Caenorhabditis elegans: one gene and its partners. The protein of the gene in region 3 interacts with the protein of the main gene of each other region in a pairwise test. Each region holds a gene or a part of one and is shown on either strand. Other genes may lie near its edges. The genes, in order: hlh-34, hlh-33 and aha-1.

Region 1 (6,497 bases), on a different chromosome or scaffold from region 3:
ACTCACAAAACAGTCCTTATTATTCTACAATCATTTTGTAGAATTACCAAAAATAATTACTCTACCCGGAAAAAGTTTCTATTCAATCTTTTATTGGAGCAGTTCAAAAACTCACTGTATCATCTACAAACGCATCATGTGGAGTTATTTCTCGAATTGTTGCAAATCTCATAGGTTCATCCATACTCGCAGCAACAGGAGATATCCTCATCCGGCTTGTTGTCGATGATCCAAGTGAAGATGAGCAACTTTCTCTTGGAACACACGGAGCAGTAACATCATTTCGAGCTCTCACAAAGCCAGGGGCACAATGACAACCGGCACTGCATGTACCCGAGCATACTGGAACTGATGGTTGTCCACAATACTCTGGGCATAAAGTTCCACAAGAAGACCAGACTGCATGTTTATCCGGGCATACACATCGCTGAGGATTCACTCCCAGGGAGACGATCATTGGTCGACAGCATCTTTGTTCCATTGGACAATCCATATCAGTATTACATCCACGACCGCCGACATCAAAAGTTGTAGCAGGGCATTCGGATTGTGATACAGTTGGCTTGAGTGCAAGAAGATCAGAATCGGATGAAAATGGACGACCACGTGTTTCATGTACTTCAGCTATTACGGTGGTGGCTGGAGGGACTGATGCTTCTGAAAAATCATTAAGTTTCACTTTGATTTGCAGTACTAACATCAAAGTTTTTTATAAACTGGCTCTGTGAGTTTACCTGTAGTAGTGGTTGTTGTAGATTCTTCTGTAGTTGTTTCTTCCTCGGGAGGACATTCTTCTATTTTAATGCATTTAGAAGTGTGCCACGTGGCAGAGTTTTCAAATACCAAGCCATTCTTACAGAAACAACCAGTCTGGCATGGAGCACAATTTTTTGGATGACGATTATCACATCCCATTGGGCATGAACTACCACATGTCATGAATTCCTTTGTCGGATCCTCACATCCTCTGTCACATTCTGCAGGAAGAACACATCTTGATGTTGGATCATTTGGATGAAGGAGCACGTATGGCTGACGACAAACACATCCTGAAAAACATTGTCCGGAGCCACATCGACCCAGAGGGTTCGCACATGATCTTGAGCAATGCAGAGCTCCGCATTGACTCCATTCTTTTCTTGGATCCGGGCAAGATTGGGATGCTGGAACGCTTGCAGTTGATGGTGGAATTGATTTTCTAGAACATAATTGAGGGAGAATGCATGTGGAGTTTGGATCCTTCGAATCGGCAAGAACATACGGAAGTCGACAGAAACATCCAGGTTCACAAGAAAGAGCACAGTCAATTGACGCTGCTTGTGAAAGAGGTCGATCACAAGATGCAGGGCACTTGCTTCCACAGCTTTGATAGTTTTTCAATGGATGTTCACAGTGTTGCTCGGGAATAAGAGTGGGAAGTTTTTGTTGTGAAGTTGTTAATCCACGAGTGGTAGTAGTGAATACGGGAGATGGTGTAGCTCTTGGGGAGGTTGGATATTGAATATTCGTATTTCCAAAACTTCCAATCATTCCAGGATTACGCTGCACAAATTGCTCAACTATTTCTGGCGCTGGTGTTGGGATTTCGGGGCACGAAGATGGAAGAATGCATCTGAAAATAGACCAATTTTAAAGTTTCTGTTACGGTTTAATCGAGTTTTGTCCATTCGGTTCAAAATCTTGTTAAAGTTTTCCCAATGTGAATATTTTTCTTGTAAAAGTAATATAAAAATGGAGAATTTTTTTTAAATCAGCAGCCACTTCCGAGTTTAAGCTTAACCTACCTTGAATGAAGAGGATCGTCTGCATTTTCAAGGATAAACGGAATTTTACAGAAGCATCCAGTCACACATCTCTCATTACATCTCGGTTGATTTCTTGTAGCACAACTAATTGGGCATGCACTTCCACATGTCTGATATTGCCTTTTCTCGTCTGCACAACGAATCGTCAGATCATAAGCTTGACACAAGCCTCGCGGAACACATGCTGAACGGGGAGAGCTGTCACGTCGGATGTATCCTAGCAATGATGAAGAGTTAATATATAGTTAACTATCGAAAGTTACCTGGTAGGCAAATGCATCCAGGTTGGCATCCGGGAGCCGGGCAAGCTGGTGTTGAAGGATCTTGACATGATGGTTGACAAGAGGAGAAACATGCTGAATATTGCTCATTCGCGCCACATACCATGGCAATCGTTGGGTTTACTGAAAAAATGTAAAATGTTATAAGAAGCTAGTTTAGGCAGACAACAGACTTTCATTAGAAATAGGTTCGTTCATTATTTTTGTTAATGCTGGTAAGCAAGCGTGATAGTTAGAGTTAGTTATGGAACCGGGGCAACATTTAGATCCCCGTTCACATTCAGAATCACAGAAGCAACGGGTTAGTGTGGTTATAGAAGTGTTCAACGGGAGGGGGCATTCTCCAGGTGATGTACTCTTGCATGTCTGTAAATATGTCTTGAATTTTTGAAATTAGAGAACTGATTGATACCTCTTCCCTTTCTTTTTGTTCTCTTAATAATGCAGCAGCTTTCAATGCAAGATTTTCTTGTTTTCTTCTCACAGTTTCACATCCCTTTTCGTCTTTGCTTTCTTTTCCGGATAATCTTCTTCCATACCTTGTCACGCACCAACAAACTTCTGTTCCAGCCAAGCATTGTCTGAAATTGGGTTTATTGTAGTCTGATAGTGAGATGTCTGTGATGCTACAAATATTTTTGAGAATATTGGGTATCTTCAGCTAAATTTGAAACTTTGTAACTAATACTGTTCTCACTATGTTCCTATTCAATATCTGAATTCCCTTTTACCTTCTTCTCCATGCCAATCCACTTTCCTCACATAGTGGTATCGCTTGTCCAACAATTTCCAACGATCTAAGCTCATCGAGAAGCTCTCGTCTCCTCATTGCACATGCTACAAAAATTTGAAATAGACAAAGAGGGGAGAATTCAATTGTATGTCATATTGTGTAATTAGTTTGGCTCTCGAATGGCATGATCTGCATGCTAATTATATATTATGAGAGCTTGTACATATTGGGTCATTCATTTATTTTTTATATGTATTTTATTTGTCGCTTGACTTATAACCACTTGAGAAATGGAGACTAATCTTTCTGAAGAAAAACGTAAGCAATTTTAGAAAATATGTTTTGAAAGAAACAAATCAATATTTTAGAAAAACCGTCAAAATCACAAGCCCAGCAGAGAAGACAAATGGAAAATTATGAATTCTCACAGCTAGCCAATGAACTTCCATTGGCAAGAGCAATTTCTGGACAGCATATTGATAAAACAACGATGGTTAGATTAGCAACTGCTTATATCAAACTTCACAATATATTTGGGCAATCTCAAAGAGCCTACAGTTCAGCTGACTATTATTATGGAAGTGACTCTTTATGGACTAACAATCATTTAGATGTAAGGATGGTTTTTTACCGTTTTTTTTTTAATTTCAATTTCAGCTACTAGATGGATTCTTTGTGATACTGGACAGGCGCGGAGATGTACTTTACATAAGTGAAACTATTAGTATTTACTTGGGCTTGTCACAAGTTGAAATGACTGGCAACGCGATGGTTGATTATATTCATGAACAGGATATCAATTGCTTTAACTCGGTAACTTTTAAGTTTTTGATTTAACATAATTAAATTCAGGAAAAATATTTTATTATAGTTACAAGTTTTGAACTTTCACAAAAACATCCTGAAATCAAGTATGGAAAGAAGTTTAAGCTTACAGCTGTAGCCTAATTAAGTTGCAATAATTTTTAAAACATTTTTTAAAAATATATATTATTTTTAATATATATTTTTAATTTTTTTTCTGTTTTTTAAAAGCAACTCCTAACTGGAATCATTTTGGAGTCATTTTCGCACAATCTCAGAGAATTTTTTGACTAAATGTAGTAATTTCTCTTTACAGGCCCTTAACTATTGTGACCTTAATTGGCCTCAAATGTGCAACGTACGTGTTAAATCTAGTCTCACAAAGCGAGCAAACAAGGATGCAGTTCGTGCTTCACCTGGATACAAGGTTCTTCGTCTAGAAATTACAATGGGTCCAAATACAAATACTAGAATGATTGCATGTTATCCAATGCCTACTCCAGTTCTTTCTACAGTAACCATTCCTTCTAATTCATTTGTTATCATTACATCCATCGATCTTCATATAACATTTGCTGATGAAAAAGCTCATCAGTTGCTTAATAACCCATTTTACCCAGATTCAAATATCAAAGGAATGTCATTATATTCACTGATTGATATCTCAGATTCTGAAGTTATATCAAAAATGCATTTCGATATTTTCAACCTGGGCGCTTATAAAACCCCGTACTATCGAATGATCTTGAATCAAACAAGTGAAACTTTTTACGTCGAGTCAAATATTTTTCGTCATACTTCGATTTCCTCTAAACAGTTTAATGACTCGATCACATTTGTTTCCTCAATTCTATGACCTCCAACTTTATTTTATTTCTTTTTTTATTACGCTAATTTCAAAGAAGATAAACACTTTGGTTTCAAATTTAAAAAATAAACGCACTTTTACAACATTTTCCCTCGATGCAAAGTTCTTCTTGATGAGTACAATCCTCATCTCTTGAGCACCTTTTTGACCATCTAGATTCATCTGGACATGGCTCATCAGCTGGGGGATCCGATGTGATATTTAATGGTCTTTTTGGTTTAGGACTAGTTGCTGAGAAATAGTGCAGTGTGTTAGATTATGTTAGTAAAAGTATTGATAGTTAATTGTAGGCAAAAAATAAAACAAGATAGAAACTCACGTTCTCGTTGAAGAGAAAATGTTGGCAAAACGTTGGGACAGCAAAATCCATTATCACAGATTTCGCCAATAAAACAGTCATCCTGCATACGGCATCGATAGTATGAATATCTACTGTCTGCACAATGTCGACATGATCCTTCGGCTTCACATAATCCTAAAAAAAATAAGCAGTTAAAACTATCGATTATGTGGTAGGCAGGCACATCTGCAGGTATCATACCTGCGTAACTTTCGTAGTTTTTTGTGAAGTTCGGTTTTTTTTTTTTGATTTTCTTATTTTAGCATTAGTGTGGGTCTTTTTTCTCAGTTTTCGAAACTTTAAACCACAACTGAAATTTTTTGAAAGACATTTTCAAGAGGTCTCATTATGAAATTCAGTTTTGGTATAGTTTTGAGTCTATTAGAAAAATACAACAATTTCTGTAGCCCAGTAAATTTTACGAAACACTCCTGGTGCAGGCATACGTTGCCTTGGAGTCAAAATACACTTACTCAACTGTCCATGAACTTCCTTCCAACTTGACGAAAATATAACAATTAATAGGAGAATACGAAGCATTCCCTAGTATTTTAAAACTTTTTTAGGCTCCTGCTCAAGAGGTCTCACTTTCTTTATTGGCTGACCTACAAATGAAAGTGTGTCATACCCCTTGAAAAAGAAGGAGAACGATAGAAAGAGCAATTATGAAATGAAAAGGTAAAGAGTGAGGGGGGACCCTCCTGTTCTGATTGTCGCCCGTATATCCTATTAAGGCAGATGAGAGGCGGTTATTTTGGCGGAGAACGCAGGTCAGCAGCTATAAATCAAGGGGTTGTTCACGGGAATCGACTCGACAAATTAGTGTTCAAAGCATTTGGGGCCAGGTGTAGAGGTTTGAGTGCCTTTTGACAGACGGTTGGCCGTAGTGGTCCGCGAAATTAATCCAAACGAGAAGAATGATGATGTTGATGAAATAGATGACAGGAAATTGAACTGAATTAGCCATTAAAGTCGATATTTAGGTTGAACTTTTATGGAATTGGATGTAGCTTGGTCAAAAAACACCTTAATACAATTAAAAATTTTACAATTAGTTAGAACTATAGTTTTGAGCAATCTGCTATAAGTTTTACAAGAAAGTGCCCTTTTTGATCGATTTTAGTACATTTTGGCAAAATCCCTACTATCTCTACTTTACCCTCAAATACATATTATCAGAATTGATCAAGTTCTACAAGAAAAAAGAGTTGATCTAACTATTCTGAATCCAACACAAAAAATTAACTAGCATGCTGAAAAACTGCAAAAATGACCACAAAAAATGTAAATCAGCAAAAAACAACTTATTTTCAAGACCAACCACCATGATGGACAAATTGGAAACATTTTCATTGTCAATCACATGTCTCTTCTGCCCATTTTCTCCATTTTCTCTACAATTTCCCGCCCATAACAGTCCCGACCTTGTCGTTGTTGGGCGTTTGTCCAGAGCGTGTCGCATGTCTCATTTTTCCTTCCACCCTGTTTCTCTAAGCTTCATAATCCGACCTTGAGGGGGTCAACTGAAGGCACCTATTACCATCCGCTTCCGTGCTACTAATACAACTACTGCCATTAACACAACAATTGGTGGTACCCTTGCCGGAAATGGACAAGGGGGTATACATTCGAGTAGAAACAGTTTTTTTTCGTTTATTTTAAAATG
Region 2 (9,384 bases), on a different chromosome or scaffold from region 3:
ATGTGTTATAACAGTTAACAAAGAAAAATTGAAGGTTAAAAGGGGATTTTCATCGATTTTTAGACGTGTCCTCCGTTCATCTTGGACAAGTGCTCGACCATGAAGTTGCTGGCGTCGATCATGCGGTTTACGCAGTTCTGAAACGGAAAAAAATTGGATTTTTTAAATTTTTTCTTCAATTTTCCCATAAAATTGCAGAAAATTGCCAAATTTTCCCAAATTTTTACCTGAATACAGGTCTGAGTCTTGCCGTCCATCTTGCTTGGCGGACGGTAGTCGGCGAAGCACACATCCCAGCAGCGACCGGTGAGCGTGTGCACTTGTTCGGTGAATTTTTGACGCTGCGTCTCCGCCTGCAGTTGCTGGAGGAATCGATTGAGTTGAGGGTCGGCCGAGTCCATTTCCTGTGAGAAAAACTATAGATTTGATGGGAATTTTGAAAAAAATTGCAAAAAAATCGCTGAAAAATGATGAAAACCCAACGAAAATGATGAAAAAATAAAATAAATTAATTTCATCGCAGAGTGCGCAAGCAACAAGAGAAATGCGCCAGCAACCTCTCCTTGCGCATTCACAGTTTTCGGCGGTTTTTCAAATGATAATTAACTTCGAAATGATTTTTCCGGAAATTTCCCAGTATATTTTGCAGTATTTTAAACAAATTCCCGTCGATAATAATCAAATTTTGTAAATAAATATTTATTTTATTCATTTAAACCCATAACTATTGATTTTGAGCACCAAGTGGCCCTTGCGGGAGCATATATTGGGGGAAATTCAAAAACGGGGGGTTTTGAACGAATTGCATCAGGTTTTTCAGCTCCCCTTCTTTCGCTGAAATTCGTTTTTCCAGCAGAAGTCGCTCACTTTGTAGTCGGAGCCAAATCTGGAAAATTGATAGTAGCTGTAGTTGAAAAGTCGATAATTTGAATTAAAACCGTGTTGCAAGTGCGCTCTATTGATAAAAACTAGTTTTTAGCGATGATTTATTGATTTTACCATTAAAAATCGATAATTTTCACATACATCTTGATAACCAGGTGATAACATGTCAAATGGGTTCATTCCAAGTGTCGGAATCGGTTGAATTAGTGACGTGGACGGATGGATTACTGTAGTTGGGCTCAAAGTGCTTCTCGGAGTTGGAATAGTGCTAGTTTGGCTGAAAATTTACATAGTTTTGCAAGTTTTTTCAGAAAAATTAGAAAATTTTTTTTTTTTGAAAAAATCAATAAAATCTTACATGTTAAGAATTTTATTAACATTTTTAACTTTCGCACGCTTAGAGCTTCGGAAAAACTCCGAAATTATGTCACTGACACAGCTGAAACCAGTGCTACAGTACCCCACGTGACGGGACCCAACTTTTGAATAAATTTGTGAAAATTTGAACCCGGGCATGATGGGGGTCATTTGAAAGGTCTTGTTGAGCTAAATTTGAAATTTTCAGTTTTAAGGGTCTCGCATGGATTTTGGAGTAGATTACTGTAGGTTTTAACGTTTTTTTTTGTTAGAAAAAACCTCTTTTTCCCAATTTTCGCCGATTTTTGTGAATTTCCATCCGACTTCTCATCATCCAACGGATAACTTTCCACTATAACATTCATCGATCGTAGTCTCTTCCGTTTTGTGGGTACTGTAGGTCGGCGGGTTACTGTAGGTTTCACATTGGGTACTGTAGACGAGGTGGAGGAGCCCGGCGAGAGGAAGGAGCTTGGGGAGCTCTGGAATTCAACAAATAGTGTTAAATAATTTTTTAGAAAAAAAAGTTCCGAAAAAAAAAATTTCAATTTTTTTTTTCTCAAAAAGTTTGAAATTTCCCGCCAAACTATTAATTCTTATTAATAACTTACCACTTTCACACAATTATCCTCTTTTCGCCTCAAAAGTGCCGCCAAAATCGGGCTTTTCACCTCCAAACTCGACGGCGGGGGCGGTGTCTTCTGAAGGGGCGAAGCTAAAATGGGCGGAGCCTTGGGTACAGTAACCGGGAGAGCTGGAAGCTCATCAGGCACACAGACTAAAACTGTTTCCGTGGGTTTCTGGAAAAATTTTGATTTTTAAAAATTTCTAGGAATTTTTGAAATTTTGGAAAAAAAAATTTTTTCAATTTTTTAACAACTAATTTTTTTGGTTAAAATCACGATTTTGAGCCAAAACTCGTACATTTTCAAATTAAGCACGTCCAGAGCTTCAAAATAAGGCCCATCATGCCTATATTCCGTGAATGATTAAAATTTCGGGTCCCGCCGCGAAAACTTTCTGGGTTACTGTAGTTTGGTTGTTTTTACTGGTTTTACCAGGTTTTGCAGGTTTTCTGGGTTGCTGAGAGTAAAATTGTGATTCTCAGCTAAAAAAAAATTGACAAAATAAGTTTTTTTTGGTAAAAAATTTTGTTTAAAAAAATTTTTTTTCACAAATTTTCGAAAATCTGTAACTTTCTTAGTTTTCACTATTTTTTCTTAATTTTTTTCTTCAAAGTTAGCTCAGTGATCACACTTTTTTGAAAAAAATTGAAAAAGTTAGTTTCATTCAAAACTACAGTAACCCTGCCAGTTTTCGTGGCGGGACCCGGAAAATTCCCCCAAAATTGCGGGAACCTAGGCATGATGGGTGTCATTCAAAAGCTATTTACACGCCAAATTCAAATAAATTAGTTTTAAAGCTAAATTTTTCGAATTGTTCGAATTGAAAAAAACATTTTAATCCCAAACCTCCGCCGATTCCTTTATTCTGCACGTCATTGACTTCGCCATGAAGCTTTTGAGTTGGAGCTCATTGAGCATTTCTTTGGAAGTGAGAAATGACAGTTTGGACGTTGAATCGTAGTCCAGAAAACATCGGATATCTTTTCCAATCATACGTTTCTGAAAAAAAAAATTTCATTAAAAAATTTTTTTTTCTTTTTTAAATATCTCAAAAACTAAAACAGCTATTAAAAAGTTGTTAACTAAAAAAGTGTGTAGAATTTCAAAATGAACATTTTGTTAGTTGAAAACTTTTTGATAACCATGAAATGGGCGGAGTTACGGAAGGCAGCAGCTACGCCCATTTAATGGTTACTAAAAAGTTATCAACTAGCGAAAAATTCAAATCTTTTGCAAAAATTTTGACAAAAATTGTTAGTTTACAACTTATTTCTAGAATTTCTAACTTTAAAAAAATTTAGTTTAACAAAAAAAAAAAAATTTTTCAGAAAAAGTCCAAAAAAAAAAATTTTTTTTGAAACTTTTTTCGAAAACTTTCTAAATTTTTATACTATCTAAAATGTTATAAAACATTTTCCAACCGAAAAAATCCCAATGATTCACCAAATCCCCCCCCCCCCACCCCCGGTCCACCACCAGTTCACCTTGAAACAAGTCAGCTGACACACAGTCCGAAAAAATCGAATTTTTTTTGGGAAAAAGTGACCTTGATAATATTTCCCCGAAAATATGACGACATTTTGTTTACAAGGAACATTTAATTGGGGACGCCTGTATGGGAAAAAATTTGGAAAATTAAAAATTATAAAAAGATGAAATCCCACAAAAAAAATTTTGGGATTTTTTTTTTTCAAAAAAATAAACTCAAATATCTTCAAATCTAGAAAAGCTAGAAAAAAATTGTCAACTGAAAAAATTTGCAGATTTTTTTTCATGGTGAAGCTTTTGTCGGTTGAAAATTTTTTGATAGCCAATAAATGGGCGGAGTTACTGAAGCTTAAAGGTTGCTACCATTTAAGGGTTAGCAAAAAGTTGTCAACTAAAAAAGTGTGCATTTGATTGTCACGCCCGTCTGGGACAAAATTTGGAAAATTTTACAAAATTAAATTCCAAAAAAAATGTTTTGAGAATTTTTTTTCCCATTTTTTCTAATAAGCCTATGCCTAAGCCCAAGCCTAAGCCTAGGCCTAATCCTAAACCTAAGCCTAAGCCTACGCTTAAGCCTAAGCCTAAGCCTAAGCCTGAGCCTAAGCCTAATCCCAAAAAAATGTTTGAAGCCTAAGCCTAAGCCTACGCCTAAGCCTACACCTAAGCCTAACAATTATTTTCAGAGGCCTGTAACTCTGCCCATTTAATGGCTTTTTGAATTTTTTTTTAAATCGAAAAAAAATCAATAAAACAAACTTTTTCAATATCAAAAACTGCCTGATGGTCTCCCTTAATATCCACGACAATAAAATTGTTCAGAAAAACCATAAAACAGTTGGTCAGGCTGAAAATATCCTGGACGAGCGGGTCGGAGAGCAGCGGTGGTTCTGGAAAATGGAGGAAATTGAAATTGACTGAAAATTCCGAAAATTTCGAGATTTTCAGCTTAATGGCTTTCAAATTTGAGTTTAGCTCAATGATTGCTTTAAAATGACACCCAACATGCCTTGGTTTGAAGGTAATTTGAAATTTTGGGTCCCGCCACGAAACGGATCAGGGTTACTGTAATAGGTTGAATTTATATTTTTCTCGGGAGGAAATAGAGTTGTTTTACCGAGTTTTAGAGTAAAAAACAAAGAAAAAAGCTTTGAAAATCGAAAATTTAGGAAAAAAATTTGCAAAAAAAAAAGAAAAAATTTTCGAAATTTTTTTTCAAATTTTTTTCCAAATTTTTTCAAAATTAAAAAAAAATTCCAAATTAGAATATTATTACTAATTTGAATCTGTAGACTCACTATAATCACTATTCCGAATAATATCAACAGTACTCCCAATGATAAAGCATTTGTCCAGCTGACGAGGCTTCTGATCCACTCTTCGCAGCTTATGAGCCCGAATATCTTCGGGCAAAAGTGTCGACATTTCACAAATCACTTCATTCATCTCTTCCCTTCGTCGTTTTTCATGCTTACTTCGTGTTTCTCGCTTTTGAATAGTTTCTTTCCGAGTTCGCGGCTTTTTGCAGCTCTGCGGGGAGTCGGACATTCTGAAAAATGTACTATTAAATTTTAAAAGCTTATATCTCGGTTAATATTAAAGGTAGGGAGAAATGTTAAACAACAAAGTTATAGAGAAAAACATGATGAACATTTTGTCAGTTTACAACCTTTGGCTCAATATTAACCGAGTTATGGGCTGTCAAAGTTAGGAAAGGTCGATGCAACATGTCTAACTCTAACTTTGACGGCTAGTATCTCTGTTAATTTTGGAGATATGGAAAAGTGCTCAACTACAAAGTTATAGAGAAGTTCATAATGAACATTTTATTAGTTATCGATTTTTTGATAAAAACAATGACAACTGAGATATAAGCTGTCCAAGTTTTTGATCGATGCACCATGTCCAGTTCAACCTTTGAAAGCATATATCTGTTGAGGATATCAATAAATTTATATTAATAAAAGTATATACATAACCAAATTGTAATAAAAATTAAATTTTCTGATGAAAAGACATTTTTTTGAACTTTTTAAATTTTTTTCAAGGATTAAAAAAAAATTTCAAAAAAGTTTAAAAAAAAATTTTGGTGAAAATTCAAATTTTCTAACTTGACAAATATGTACTTTTCATTGTTTTTTTAAAAAAATTTTATTGTAAAAAATGTGTTATTGCCCTAAAGTTTCAGAAAACCCATTTAAATTTTAAATTTTTGAAAAATTTACTGAAAAATGAAATTTCTTCGGTAAAACTGTAGTATCTCAAAGAATAATTGTGCAAATTGCTTGACATTTTGTCAGAATTAGCGTTAAATATATTTTTATTTTTCTTTCAGAAAATATCAAATTTTTGATTTAAACTTTTGGAAAATGCAAAAAAAAAAAATTTAAAAATTAAAAAAAAAAATTTTCAACATTTTTATTTTCTCAATTAAAACCTAAATTTCTCAAAAACTACCAAATGAATTTTGGTGAAATTTTACCAAAATTTGCGTTAAAACTTTATCTTTCAGGCAATTTACTTTAAAATTTGACAGTTCATTTGAGTCCAAAGTTATAAGACCTCAAAGTAAGCCTACGTACAAAAATTATTTACCGAGTTGTATAAAACTTTTGTCAAAAAAAAAAATTTAGAAAAAATCGGAAAAGTGATCAGATGGCAAAAATGAATGGTCTCCGCCGTCTTCATCGCCCCCAACACTCGAAATTGCCGCATTTCTGCGTCTCTTTGATTGTGTGTACTCTCTCGTGTGCCTCGGAATAAGTTGTGTGTGTGGGGGCAGCTGGTTAGGGGAGCGTTTTTTGTATGGCAGAAAGGGACTTTCAAGGTCACTTTCTTCATTTTTCTCCCTCTACGGCTTTCATTTCTGGTTACCCCGGCGGGGAAAACAATATTTTGTAAAAAAAAAATTTTTTTTTTGGAAAATTTTTTTCCGAAAAATCAATTTTTTTTTTGGAAAACCAACTTCAAAAACGAAATCCTCGCATAATTTCCCACTATTCACATTTTTTGCCGAGTCTCTAGCTCAACTTTTGATTTTCTCTGAGTACGGTAGCGCCAAAAGTACGCAAACACCGCCGCAGCTCCTACGACAAAATGCACAGCTTCTCAGGATTTGGTAGCTGAGCTTTGGAAATTGGGTTTCCGGAGTGAAAAGAGACGTAGAATTCATATTATTGATCGAAAATTTACAGTTTTGAATGAAAACCGAAAAAAAACTACACAAAAAGCTTCAAAACGTTCTATTTCGCCCACAATTATCAAATTTCAAGTAAAATTTCCAAGAAATTCGAATTTTCCTGCATTTTTTACCTCTTAAACCATTTTTCCCGATCTTCTAGCTCAAAATTTGATTTTCTCGGGGTAATGCACAACTTTCCAAATTTCAATGTTCAGGCTCCAAAAATCGGGCCCCCGAAAAAATTGAATTTCTTCGAAATATCGATTTTTCTCGTAATTTTTCGAAAATTTCATTGTCAAATTTGAATTTCCCGCCATTTTTCACCCGGGGAACCTATTTTCTAGAGTTTTACCTTAAAATTTAGAGTAACTGTGCATTTTGTCGTAAGAAATTTGGTGCTTGCGTATTTTCGGGCCTACAGTACCCCGAAAAATTTAAATTTTAGCTCAGAACCCCGGAAAAAAAGTATTCAGTGGTAAAAAGTGACGGAGAATCCGAATTTAACAATGAAAATCTTCAAAAATCAATAAAAATCCCGGAAAAAATCAATTTCTTAAAAATATTGATTTTTCTGTGATTTTTTTGAAAATATTGCTGTCAAATTTGAATTTCCCGTCATTTTTTAGCTCGGGGTCCCATTTTCTAGGGCTTTAACTCGGAATGTAAAGAAACTGTGCATTTTGTCGTAAGAAATTCGGTGTTTGCGTATTTTTGGTGCTACCGTACCCCAAAGAACTCAAAATTTTAGCTAGAAACCCAGAAAACCACGATTTAGAGGTAAAAAGTTACGGAGAATTCGAATTTGCAACTTAAAATTCTCCATAATCGTGGTGAGACCCAAGGAAATTCAAATTTTTGCGAATTAATAATAATTTATTACAAAAAAAGTCGTGGGGTCGAGATATGTATTGTATAGAAATCGCGAGAGATCACAAAAATGACACAAAAATCGATAATTTTCAGGAAAAAGTGGAAAATTGTGGAAAAATTGGGTAAAACGTTGATAAAAATGGCTCAGGGGGGGGGGGGGGAATGGAAACATTTTTGTACAATTATTAATACATTCGTTTTTTTTTTCGGGAAAAACTTTGAAAAATCGTTGAAAAAAAAAATCAATAAAATATTGTTTTTTTGGCATTTTTTAATACAATGTAAAAAATTGGGAAATATTACAATCGCAGGGGGAAAATCGATGAAAAATGTCGTAAAATTATTGATTTTTGGGAGATTTTTCAAGAGAAATTAATAAATTATCGATTTTTTCGATTTTTCGGCGGCGGGAAAAATCAATAAGTGTAGATTCTGCGCGACGGGTCGTGACTTCGAATGACACGAATCTCGAATCCTCCAATATTTTTGACAATATCCGGCAGGTGCTGCCCGTCAGTTGTCGGCTGCTTCTGTTGCTGCTGCTCGACGGCTTCCAGCGGAGCCTCGGGCTCGGGCTCTTGCTCCACCGAATTCCAGCGCGGTTTTTTTGCCGGAATTTGTTGTGCGGCGGTCGCCTGATTCTCCAGATTCTCCACATTATCAACGTCGCTCCAGTGAGCTTGTGGAGATTGCTTGCGTTTGCGGGAATTCTGGAAAAAAATTGTAAATTTTCGGGGAAATTATTGATTTTTGGAGATTTTTACTGCTAAATTCGGATTCTCCGTAACTTTTTACCTCTAAATCGTGGTTTTCTGGGTTTCTAGCTAAAATTTTGAATTCTTTGGGGTACGGTAGCACCAAAAATACGCAAACACCGAATTTCTTACGACAAAATGCACAGTTTCTTTACATTCCGAGTTAAAGCCCTAGAAAATAGAATCCCGGGGTAAAAAATGACGGGAAATTCAAATTTGACAGCAATATTTTCAAAAAAATCACAGAAAAATCAATATTTTTAAGAAATTGATTTTTTCCGGGATTTTTATTGATTTTTGAAGATTTTCATTGTTAAATTCGGATTCTCCGTCACTTGTTACCACTGAATACTTTTTTTCCGGGGTTCTGAGCTAAAATTTAAATTTTTCGGGGTACTGTAGGCCCGAAAATACGCAAGCACCAAATTTCTTACGACAAAATGCACAGTTACTTTAAATTTTAAGGTAAAACTCTAGAAAATAGGTTCCCGGGGTGAAAAATGGCGGGAAATTCAAATTTGACAATGAAATTTTCGAAAAATTACGAGAAAAATCATTGATATTTTGAAGAAATTCAATTTTTCAGGATTTTTATTGATTTTCAGAAATTTTCACTATCAAATTCGGATTCTCCGTCACTTTTCACTCCGAAATCCTGGTTTCCCGTGCTGCTAGCTCAAAATTTCAATTTTCGGGGTACTGTAGCCCCGAAAATACGCAAACACGGAGGATCTTACGAAAAAATGCACAATTTCTTTAATATTTGTGGTAAAGCTCTAGAAAACAGGATCCGGGTGTGAAAAATGACGGGAAATTCGAATTTCTTAGTGGAACTTTCAGGAAATTTCATTTAGCTACAGTAATCCAAGGAATTTTCGTGGTGAGACCCAAAATCCTGAATGTTCTCCAAACTTAGTCGATATGGGGCTCATTTTAAAGCTCTCAGCGAGCTAAACACCGACTTTTACAGCTAAAAACTCTAAAAATCTGAAAATTTTCAAGTTCCGAACCTGGTTAAGCTGCTGTTGCTCGATGAGCACTTGCTGAACTTGTTGGAGCTCCGATTGAGCATGCTGCTGCTGGTGCTGGTGATGCTGCTGAGCCAATTGCTCCTGTTGTTGGAGCCGGACAGTCTGGAAATAAAATTTTCAGAAAAAATTTGGAAAAAACATTTTTTTTTTGAATTTTTTACAAAAAATTTAATTTTTCTGAAAGCTCTCTCGGC
Region 3 (8,332 bases):
CGTGACAACTCCTTGCCCAAGTTGGATATTAAAATATGCATTTGGCTTGGAAATTGGCAAAGCTTGAGCAAAAGTTTGGCAAGACTTGATGGCCCAAGTTTGATCCGATCCTTGAGAATCACTGCCAAAACGACATAAGTCAAGTTTCACGCTAGGAACAGATTGGGCCAAGTCTTGCCCAATTACTCGTTTGCCAACTTCTGAACAATTTGGACAAGTTAATGCGCAAATGCCGAGATCTTGTGATCAAATGATCATATTAGGAACATTGAATTTTTGAAAATCAAAAACTGTCTAGTAGTCGGTAGGTAACTGTGTCATGTGCGCATAATGCCTCAGTACAATTAACCTATTGATGGAAACATTACAAAAAAAGTGTGAAAGAGCTTCAAGTTTCTTGCAACTTCATCGGAACATTTGAATTTTTCAGATGCATCTCAATCTTCATCATATGAATCTGTTTGCTACTGGAGCATTTTCCAATGTCTACCGTGGAGTTGCTCAAACAGAATCCAATCAGGAAATCGATATTGTGATCAAAAAGACCTGGCCGCGTCACAAAGGATGTCCAATGGAAGTGAAGATTCTTGGACAGTTGGGAAAGTTGAAGCATCGGAATATTGTTCGTTTGTTGTACAGCTATCAGAAACAACATGAAGGTGTGAGCACGCTTAGTTGATAGAATAATAAGCAAATTACAAATATTCAGGTCGTATTTGTCTTGCTCTGATTTTCGAGTACATTCCATTGAATCTTTATCAGTTTCTAAAAGACAAAAACCGCCGGATTGACATTGTAGAAGTGAAGCTTATTGTCTGGCAATTGTTTCGAGGACAAGCACATTTGGAGAAGGTGCAGTTATTTTTTTGAATATGTCTCCCATTCAATCTGGAATTTTAAGGCTGACATTTGTCACAGAGACATCAAGCCTCAAAATCTACTCTACAACGCCGAAACAGGTCTGCTGAAAATATCTGATTTTGGCTCATCGTCCATCCAATCTACAAAATCACCACAGCAAAGTTATCATGTCACGAGATACTACAGACCACCAGAATTGATTTTAGGCTCCAAGTACTATGGATGCAAAATTGGTAAGAAAATTCTGAAAAAATATTCAAATTATCTGATAATTTTGTTAGATGCTTGTTGGTGAATTCTTACTAAGCCCAAGTTTACTATTAGTTACCTTGAGCAAGTCTTGGAGTTTTTTGCTAGAATATAATTTTTCAGACACGTGGTCTTGCGGATGTGTATTTGGAGAGCTACTGAAAGGCGGAATCATCTTGGCTGGAAAATCATCGAACAATCAAGCGGAGGTCATTTTCGATATGCTCGGATACCCAACAGATTCTGATGTGTCATCAATGAAAGTGAGCAGCACGAAGTTGCAGGAAGTTTTGGATTCATATGAATATAATAAATCGAAGACAACTGCCGACTTGACTTATCTCTACACACAGACAGTCATTTATCAGAAGGATCGGAGAACTACAGTCTATAATACGGTAATTATTATACGAAGAACGAGTTCATTGAAAATTCAGACAATTTTCATCAGCGACCGGTTTTAAGTGCTACATTCGGAACCATCTTAACATTTGAAACCGATTTGATGTACCACTAGTCTGTTATTGATTGCGCGGCACAAGCTAGGTACAAGATAGGCACAGAGTAGGCACCAAACGATAAGGCGCATGTGGAATCAAATCGGTTTCAGGCAAAAAGCTTTAAGAAAACCTCCAGAGAGTTGTTTTTCAGAAAATTGAGCAAGATGACATGAAAGAGTCAGTAGCAGTTCTTCTTCAAATCCTTGTCTACAATCCGAACAAGCGTCTCTCTGGAATTGAGATTCTCACTCATCCGTACTTTAATGTGGTAAGTTTATCTGAACCTTATGATTGTCACCTAACATAATGATTTTAGTTATTCAACGAGAAAACGGTGAGATTCAATAAAAAGAAGATTTTGTGTCTTTCTGCAGTCGACTTACAATCCGTGAAATCTGGAGATACAACTTTGACGAATGAATCGGTTGAGCAGACGAGTTGAATTCGAGAAAAGAGCACTGATATTTAGATTATCAATTTTGTAATATATGAACAGTTCTGAATGGGGTCTCCAAATTGAAATATATGTCACTATATCTGTCTTTTTAGAAGCATAACTAATTTGAATATGGAGTTTCGTCCTATGGCTCCTCTGGCGAAGAGCGCCTTGGACTGCTTGGCATTGTACACCAACTTTTTGCCAGAATTTGGCAGCGACAATATTTTTTTCAACAGTTTAAAACAATACAAGAAAGGTTTGGGTCAAAGTTTGACATGAATAAAATCAAACTTATGCCAAACTCTAGTGCATTCTAAATCTACAAAAGGCCGAGTGGAAAAGTCGATCTGAAACAAACATTCTGAAAGCTTGAATTATGTGTGTTTTTTTAGAAAGAAAACTTTAACTTGATAAAAAACTACACTTTTGGAACAATTTCACAAAACTCGAAAGTTGGAAACATCCAAGGAACAGTTTTCAGGTCGATATTTTTTAGTTCAAAGTGCGAGGCATGTAGCAGAATGTTTTATAGGGGCCTATGCAAAAGGTTTTCTTTCAAATAAAAAATGATTTTAATTGAGAGTGTGAAAGTTAAAAAAATTTGATCAATCAATTGTGGTCATTCAACTTTCAAATACTGGTCACACTATAAATGCGTGCATTATTTCACTTATTTTCTTGCATTATCACTATCACATTTTTATATGCCCTATCATCCATCCATCATCTTCTAATTTTTTTCCGTTTCCTCCTTCATCATCCTTAAAAAGTCTCTCCCCTCTAATTCCATCTGTTGCTTCTTCTCTCAAATATCCAGTGACCATATGTAGGGGGGTCACTCTCAATTTCTTTTCATTTCTTTCTCTCTTCATAGTAATAATACGGTCCTCAACGGTGTTTGGTGACGAGGTACTGGACAAATAGAAAAAGCGCGCACGCCCCTCTCTCTCACACCATTCCTTTCCCATCCCCCATCATCCTAAAGAAATATTGATTGGTGAGAGTATATGAAAAATGGAGACTCAGACATACGTATCGCGTGTTTAAAGACATTGTGTCTACAATGGAGAGTATTCTCTGACGCATCTTACTCTAGATTTTCCATACTTTCTCTCTCATCGGGCAAGGAAGCGACGATTTACATAATTAATTGATTTACTCTCGATCCATTGCACAACTTGTTTTAAAATTCAATTTTTTAAATTCTTCACCTAATATATTCAATTGCCTATAATTTGTTTTGGTGTCTTTCAATTCTTCTTTTCGACAGAAAAAAACTTTTCTTTATAGTTTTCAGAATGGCTCAGGATATATTTATGGATCCATGGCAATCGGCGACGAGGTAAGGCATAGTGTGACATTATTAGCTTAAGTTATGGCTTTTTATTGCAAAAAATGTGTTGATTAAAATTGGTTTTCTATGCAATACAACTATTCAGATATGCTTATTGCTGGTTATTTTTGGATACTTCTAAACTTATATTTTAAATTTTAAATAATTTCAGCTTCGCAATGGAAGATGAAGATATGGGCATGCCATCTGGAAAATATGCTCGAATGGAAGATGAAATGGGAGAGAATAAGGAAAGATTTGCAAGGGAAAATCATTCAGAGGTGAGGTTTTGAACATTTATATCTGAAAATTTATACTGCTATGTTTCATTAATTCAAATAAAAAGTACGATACTCTGGGTATTGTTTGACCTGTAAAACTGCAATTTTCATGGGACGTAACACAACTCAAAATTAAATTTCCAGCGATTTTAAATTTTTTAAAAATTTCTACATATGGTGCTAAAATTATCGAGTCATAGAGAACTTTTTAAAAAATTATTTCAAACTGTATAATTAAAATTCAAATAGGCACAATTTTAGAGTTTCACATATCATGAATTCGGAAGCCGACCGAAAAATCTTTCTTTCTGCAAGTATTAAACTAAAAACTAAAAGTTTAAAAATTTGGCAATTTACCAACCCTTTGGTTGAAATTTCTGAAATCAAAATTCAATATGGAAAAAGTAAAATTTCTTGCTTCAAATTCAACTGAAAACGTTTTAGATTGAGCGACGTCGCCGTAACAAAATGACTCATTACATAAATGAATTAGCCGAAATGGTTCCACAATGTGCATCACTTGGACGTAAACCCGATAAACTAACGATTCTCCGAATGGCAGTATCACACATGAAAGGAATTCGAGGACATACGGCACAAGATGAAACTTCATATAAACCATCATTTCTTACGGATCAAGAATTGAAACATTTGATTCTAGAAGCAGCGAATGGATTTCTTTTTGTTGTTTGTTGTCAGACTGGAAAAGTGTTATATGTTGCTGATTCAATTACTCCCGTACTTAATTTGAAGCAGGTGAGCAAGATTTGAATCTTTCATTATTGAAATATAAATATTAATTTTTAGGAAGATTGGCTTCAAAGAAATTTGAATGAACTCATACATCCAGATGATCAAGATAAAATTAGAGATCAATTGTGTGGAAGTGAAGTATCAGTTAATAAAGTTCTCGATTTGAAATCTGGTGAGTTATCATAAAAAGAGAAGAGGAGAGATTCAAGGATTTTTTGAATTTTTTCCAAAGTAGTCATATAACTTGGAACCGTTTACAGTAATAACCACTTACTTCAGTCAATCGAATTAAGTAGTATTTGTTTTAAAAGCATCTATTGTAATTTCACTAGATTTTGGCATGCCCAAAATTTGTGATTTTCCGTCAAAAAGGTATCTGCTCGCTCTTAAAATGTGTGTATCTTTAAAAGTACAGTAACCCACTTCAAGTTAACTATCAAAATCATTGAATTTTAGGATCAGTGAAACGCGAAGGAGCATCAACACGAGTTCATATGTCATGTCGTCGTGGATTCATCTGTCGAATGCGTGTCGGAGCCCTTGAACCACTTCATCGTCTCAGAAATCGCCGTCCCTTATTCCAACATGCTGGTCAAAATTACGTTGTGATGCATTGCACAGGATATATCAAAAATGCTCCACCACAGGGAATTAATGCTCCAGCTTCATCTTGTTTGGTGGCAATTGCCAGGTTACAGGTTAGAATAGTTTACGATGCAGATAAACGTGATTTAATTAAAGGTAGCATCAATGCCGGTCTGTGCTGATCCAACATCAACAAATCAATTTTCGGTTCGTGTTTCGGAAGATGGAAAAATGACATTTATTGATGCGAGGGTTAGTGATTTAATTGGTTTGAGCAGTGATCAACTTATCGGAAGATATTGGTGGAATCTTGCACATCCAGCAGATGAGAAGACCCTTCAAGACTCATTTGTGGCTCTTTTAAGGTAAGTTTTCGTAAAAAAACCTTTTTGAACAATTTGCGTCCATCAAATTTCATATTACCTGCTTTCAAGAGTGTGTGCGGTTTTAAAGAGTACTGCAATTTCAAACTTTCTACTCTGTAGAATTTTCGTCGATTTTTCATAGTTTTTCTCACTATTTGTAAAAATACATGTTGTCTTATGTGAGTTTTTAAACAAATAAATATACCTTTATCAAAAAAACTATGAAAAACCAAAGAGAATTGAGTAGAAACATTAAAATTACCGTACTTTTTAAAGGCTCAAACCTTTTTCATTAAACAAACATTTGTCTTGTCGAGACCAGGTACCGTAGTTTTTTAATCGTAATTTTCGCGGTTCTAGGGAATATTTTCAGGCGAATTTTTCACGAATAATATTCGTGGCGGGACCATTTCGAAAAATGTACTTTCCTTTAAACCTATAGCAGTAGATTCCATGTTAACTAAATAAAAACATTTCCATTTCAGTGACCAACCAATGAGAATAAATATTCGAGTACGTACCAGTACTGATTACATTCCATGTACTGTGTCTGCATACAAATTCATGAATCCATACTCGGAACAGTTCGAATACGTGGTTGCAACACATCAAATTGCTCCACAAGAAGATATTAATAATTGGGTCACTGCACCAACTGTTCCTCAACCTCAAGCCAGTGAATTTGGAGAGCTCGGCGGTGCTCCAAGTGCTGTGGATTACGGACAATCGAGTAGTGGAGGATGGAGACCTGAAGCTCAAGGAGCACCACAGGCACAATGGCAATGGGACCCGATGAATGGATATAACCAGTGATTATAATTTCTAGAAATTGATATATTTTTTTTTGAAGCCTATTCCAATGATTCTCATTTCTATCTACTTCTTGAAAAGTTTTCTTTTTTTTTCAATTTCCTTAACTTTTCTGTTCAGTATTTTTCCTTTTTTCTGGACCAACGAGTTATTCAACTCATTCTGAACACTAAATTTTATTACTAATAATATTGTCAAAAAATCAAAAGAAAACAACGAATAAATGAAAACAACTATAAAATAACGGATTATTGCTTATTTTGGTGGATTTTGAAGAATATATTCCGTCGCCGACGTTGCCGTTGACTTGTGCTTTGAGAACTGTTTCGCTGGAAGTTGTTCCGTGTTCATTTCTGTTGGAAGCCATGTTATCGGTGTCCATTGACCTTGAATAGAAGGAACCAATGCACTTTGACGACTCTCTAGCTTCACAACTGGTTCGCCGCTTCTTGAGAATAACAAATGCACATCTTTGCTCACTTCGTCTTGTGTCATGTTTTTTGCATTGATCTGTAGAGTCCGACCATTTCCATATTCTGCGCGGATTGATGGGTTCGAGTTTCGCACAGGCTGGGCATAGATCACAACTGATGGGTTTTTACGGCCTGAAAAAAACGGATTTCCTTCTTTATTTAAAAAAAAATGAAGCTTTTAATTTAGATTCTCTATTAATTTTTTGATCGTAGACAGAAATTCTTACCGATTTCAACGAGTTGATTCTCAATAAAATTGCGAACTCCGACACTGGATTCACTTTGTTTGCAAAACCTGACAGTGATGCGATGAAGTTGGTTGGTGTAACGCGAGATTCCATTATAAGCCGGAATTTTCAGAAAATCAGAAAATCGCCATCCAAAGTTCAGAGCTTTTGCGGCTGTGTAAATGGGTTTGAGGCGATCAACACGTGGAACCGATGGCATCTAAAAATGAGAGTTTGATAAAATAAACTTTAAGTATAATATTGAAATAGAATATAAGAAATCGTACTGTTAAATTGGCAAAATGAAGAAAGGCAACGGCGCTCTAATGAAAAGAATACGAGCGTCTTGTTCAAAAGCGACGACAGCTGATGCGAAAACAGGTTTCGCGAGGTTATTTACACAAACAAATTTCATTAAAATAGAAAAAACGTGACTAATCATCACATATCAAGAGATTTTGTTGAAAATATCGAGCCAAAAAATTAATAAATTCCATTTGAAGCTCCGAGAATTCTAGGCCACGGCCGTGTCGTACACGAGGACAAAATTTTTTTCCTGTGATTTCTTCTTGTTATTGCACTTTGCCCCCTATTTAGCCACACTCTAGCCAACATTTTTTTGTTTTCAGATGGCAATTGCAACGACAAAAACTGCATTAACAACAATGTAAGTATTTATTAATATTTGATGCTTGCTGTTCAAATAAAACTACGGTTTTCAGAATGAATTGGATGACATTCACGGATGACTCGAAGGAACAACTAAAAATTGTCGAGGGACGTCTGTTTCAGTCTTGCGAAGTATCATACGAAGCCAAATATGTCCCGGTGAGTGAGAAATATTTGTTTCTCTGGTCTGGAGTGTCTTTTTCAGGTCAGATTCAAAAGAGGCGAAGTGTACACGGTGACAGTGAGGCCCAGAGAAGCTGAAAACCTAAACGGCGAAGCAATAGTTTTCATTCCTGGATTGGGCGCTGGTGTTGCAATGTTCACGGCAAATTTCAACAGCTGCGCCAAAAATCATGCTGTGCATTCATTTGATCCACTAGGTTTCGGAAGATCATCGCGATCGAGGTTCAGTGACGACAATGCCATCGCCGAGTTGGAAATGGTTGAAGTGATGGAAGACTGGCGAAAAGCCATGGGAATTGAGAAAATGTACATTATAGGACACGCATTTGGAGGATATTTGGCGAGTGCTTATGCTCTCGAGAATCCATCAAGAGTTGCTCATCTGATTCTAGTAGATCCATGGGGATTCGCTGAAAAAGTTGAAACAACTGAGAAACTGGTAAGAATGTATTGTTTAAGAGCTTCTGATGCTAATAATCAGAATACATGGCTTCAGATTAAACCTTATGCTTGGATGTCCTTCCTTGGAGGAGTTGCCGGATACTTCAATCCATTCTCGCCGATGCGATGGATGGGGCCATATGGTTAGCTGTTCAATCTTAAT

Evidence for each region.
Region 1: the proteins of aha-1 (region 3) and hlh-34 interact in a two-hybrid assay, tested with the Caenorhabditis elegans proteins (one study listed by BioGRID).
Region 2: the proteins of aha-1 (region 3) and hlh-33 interact in a two-hybrid assay, tested with the Caenorhabditis elegans proteins (2 studies listed by BioGRID).

Annotation. Positions count from the first base shown.
Region 1 is NC_003283.11:13,703,968-13,710,464, reverse strand, and holds hlh-34 (Helix-loop-helix 34), read left to right. Parts: upstream 1-3,069; 5' UTR 3,070-3,109; coding exon 3,110-3,137; intron 3,138-3,187; coding exon 3,188-3,432; intron 3,433-3,476; coding exon 3,477-3,632; intron 3,633-3,939; coding exon 3,940-4,479; 3' UTR 4,480-4,498; downstream 4,499-6,497. Other genes in the region: T01D3.3 (Thyroglobulin type-1 domain-containing protein), read right to left, coding at 116-657, 735-1,612, 1,785-2,022, 2,069-2,209, 2,260-2,452, 2,499-2,667, 2,818-2,923, 4,567-4,722 and 2 more. UniProt on the Caenorhabditis elegans protein: Transcription factor. Involved in specifying AVH neuron identity, acting in concert with unc-42. Involved in serotonin-mediated feeding behavior, probably acting by modulating expression of genes involved in glutamate signaling.
Region 2 is NC_003281.10:1,850,910-1,860,293, reverse strand, and holds hlh-33 (BHLH domain-containing protein), read right to left. Parts: upstream 4,903-9,384; 5' UTR 4,902-4,902; coding exon 4,652-4,901; intron 4,244-4,651; coding exon 4,113-4,243; intron 2,868-4,112; coding exon 2,715-2,867; intron 2,043-2,714; coding exon 1,854-2,042; intron 1,725-1,853; coding exon 1,522-1,724; intron 1,163-1,521; coding exon 1,027-1,162; intron 887-1,026; coding exon 725-886; 3' UTR 691-724; downstream 1-690. Other genes in the region: ddp-1 (Mitochondrial import inner membrane translocase subunit Tim8), read right to left, coding at 60-137, 228-401; pqn-82 (Prion-like-(Q/N-rich)-domain-bearing protein), read right to left, coding at 7,821-8,114, 9,170-9,292.
Region 3 is NC_003279.8:10,192,006-10,200,337, reverse strand, and holds aha-1 (Aryl hydrocarbon receptor nuclear translocator homolog), read left to right. Parts: upstream 1-3,340; 5' UTR 3,341-3,347; coding exon 3,348-3,391; intron 3,392-3,554; coding exon 3,555-3,663; intron 3,664-4,107; coding exon 4,108-4,419; intron 4,420-4,470; coding exon 4,471-4,588; intron 4,589-4,872; coding exon 4,873-5,114; intron 5,115-5,157; coding exon 5,158-5,366; intron 5,367-5,851; coding exon 5,852-6,179; 3' UTR 6,180-6,413; downstream 6,414-8,332. Other genes in the region: Y106G6E.1 (Protein kinase domain-containing protein), read left to right, coding at 431-659, 710-852, 902-1,094, 1,234-1,508, 1,762-1,878, 1,927-2,052; C25A1.15 (Transposase), read right to left, coding at 2,742-3,017; mrpl-34 (Large ribosomal subunit protein mL43), read right to left, coding at 6,432-6,781, 6,877-7,096; lid-1 (AB hydrolase-1 domain-containing protein), read left to right, coding at 7,506-7,543, 7,599-7,704, 7,751-8,167, 8,210-8,312. UniProt on the Caenorhabditis elegans protein: Transcription factor. Efficient DNA binding requires dimerization with another bHLH protein, such as cky-1 or ahr-1. Regulates transcription of target genes, probably acting in complex with cky-1. Has a role in cellular differentiation.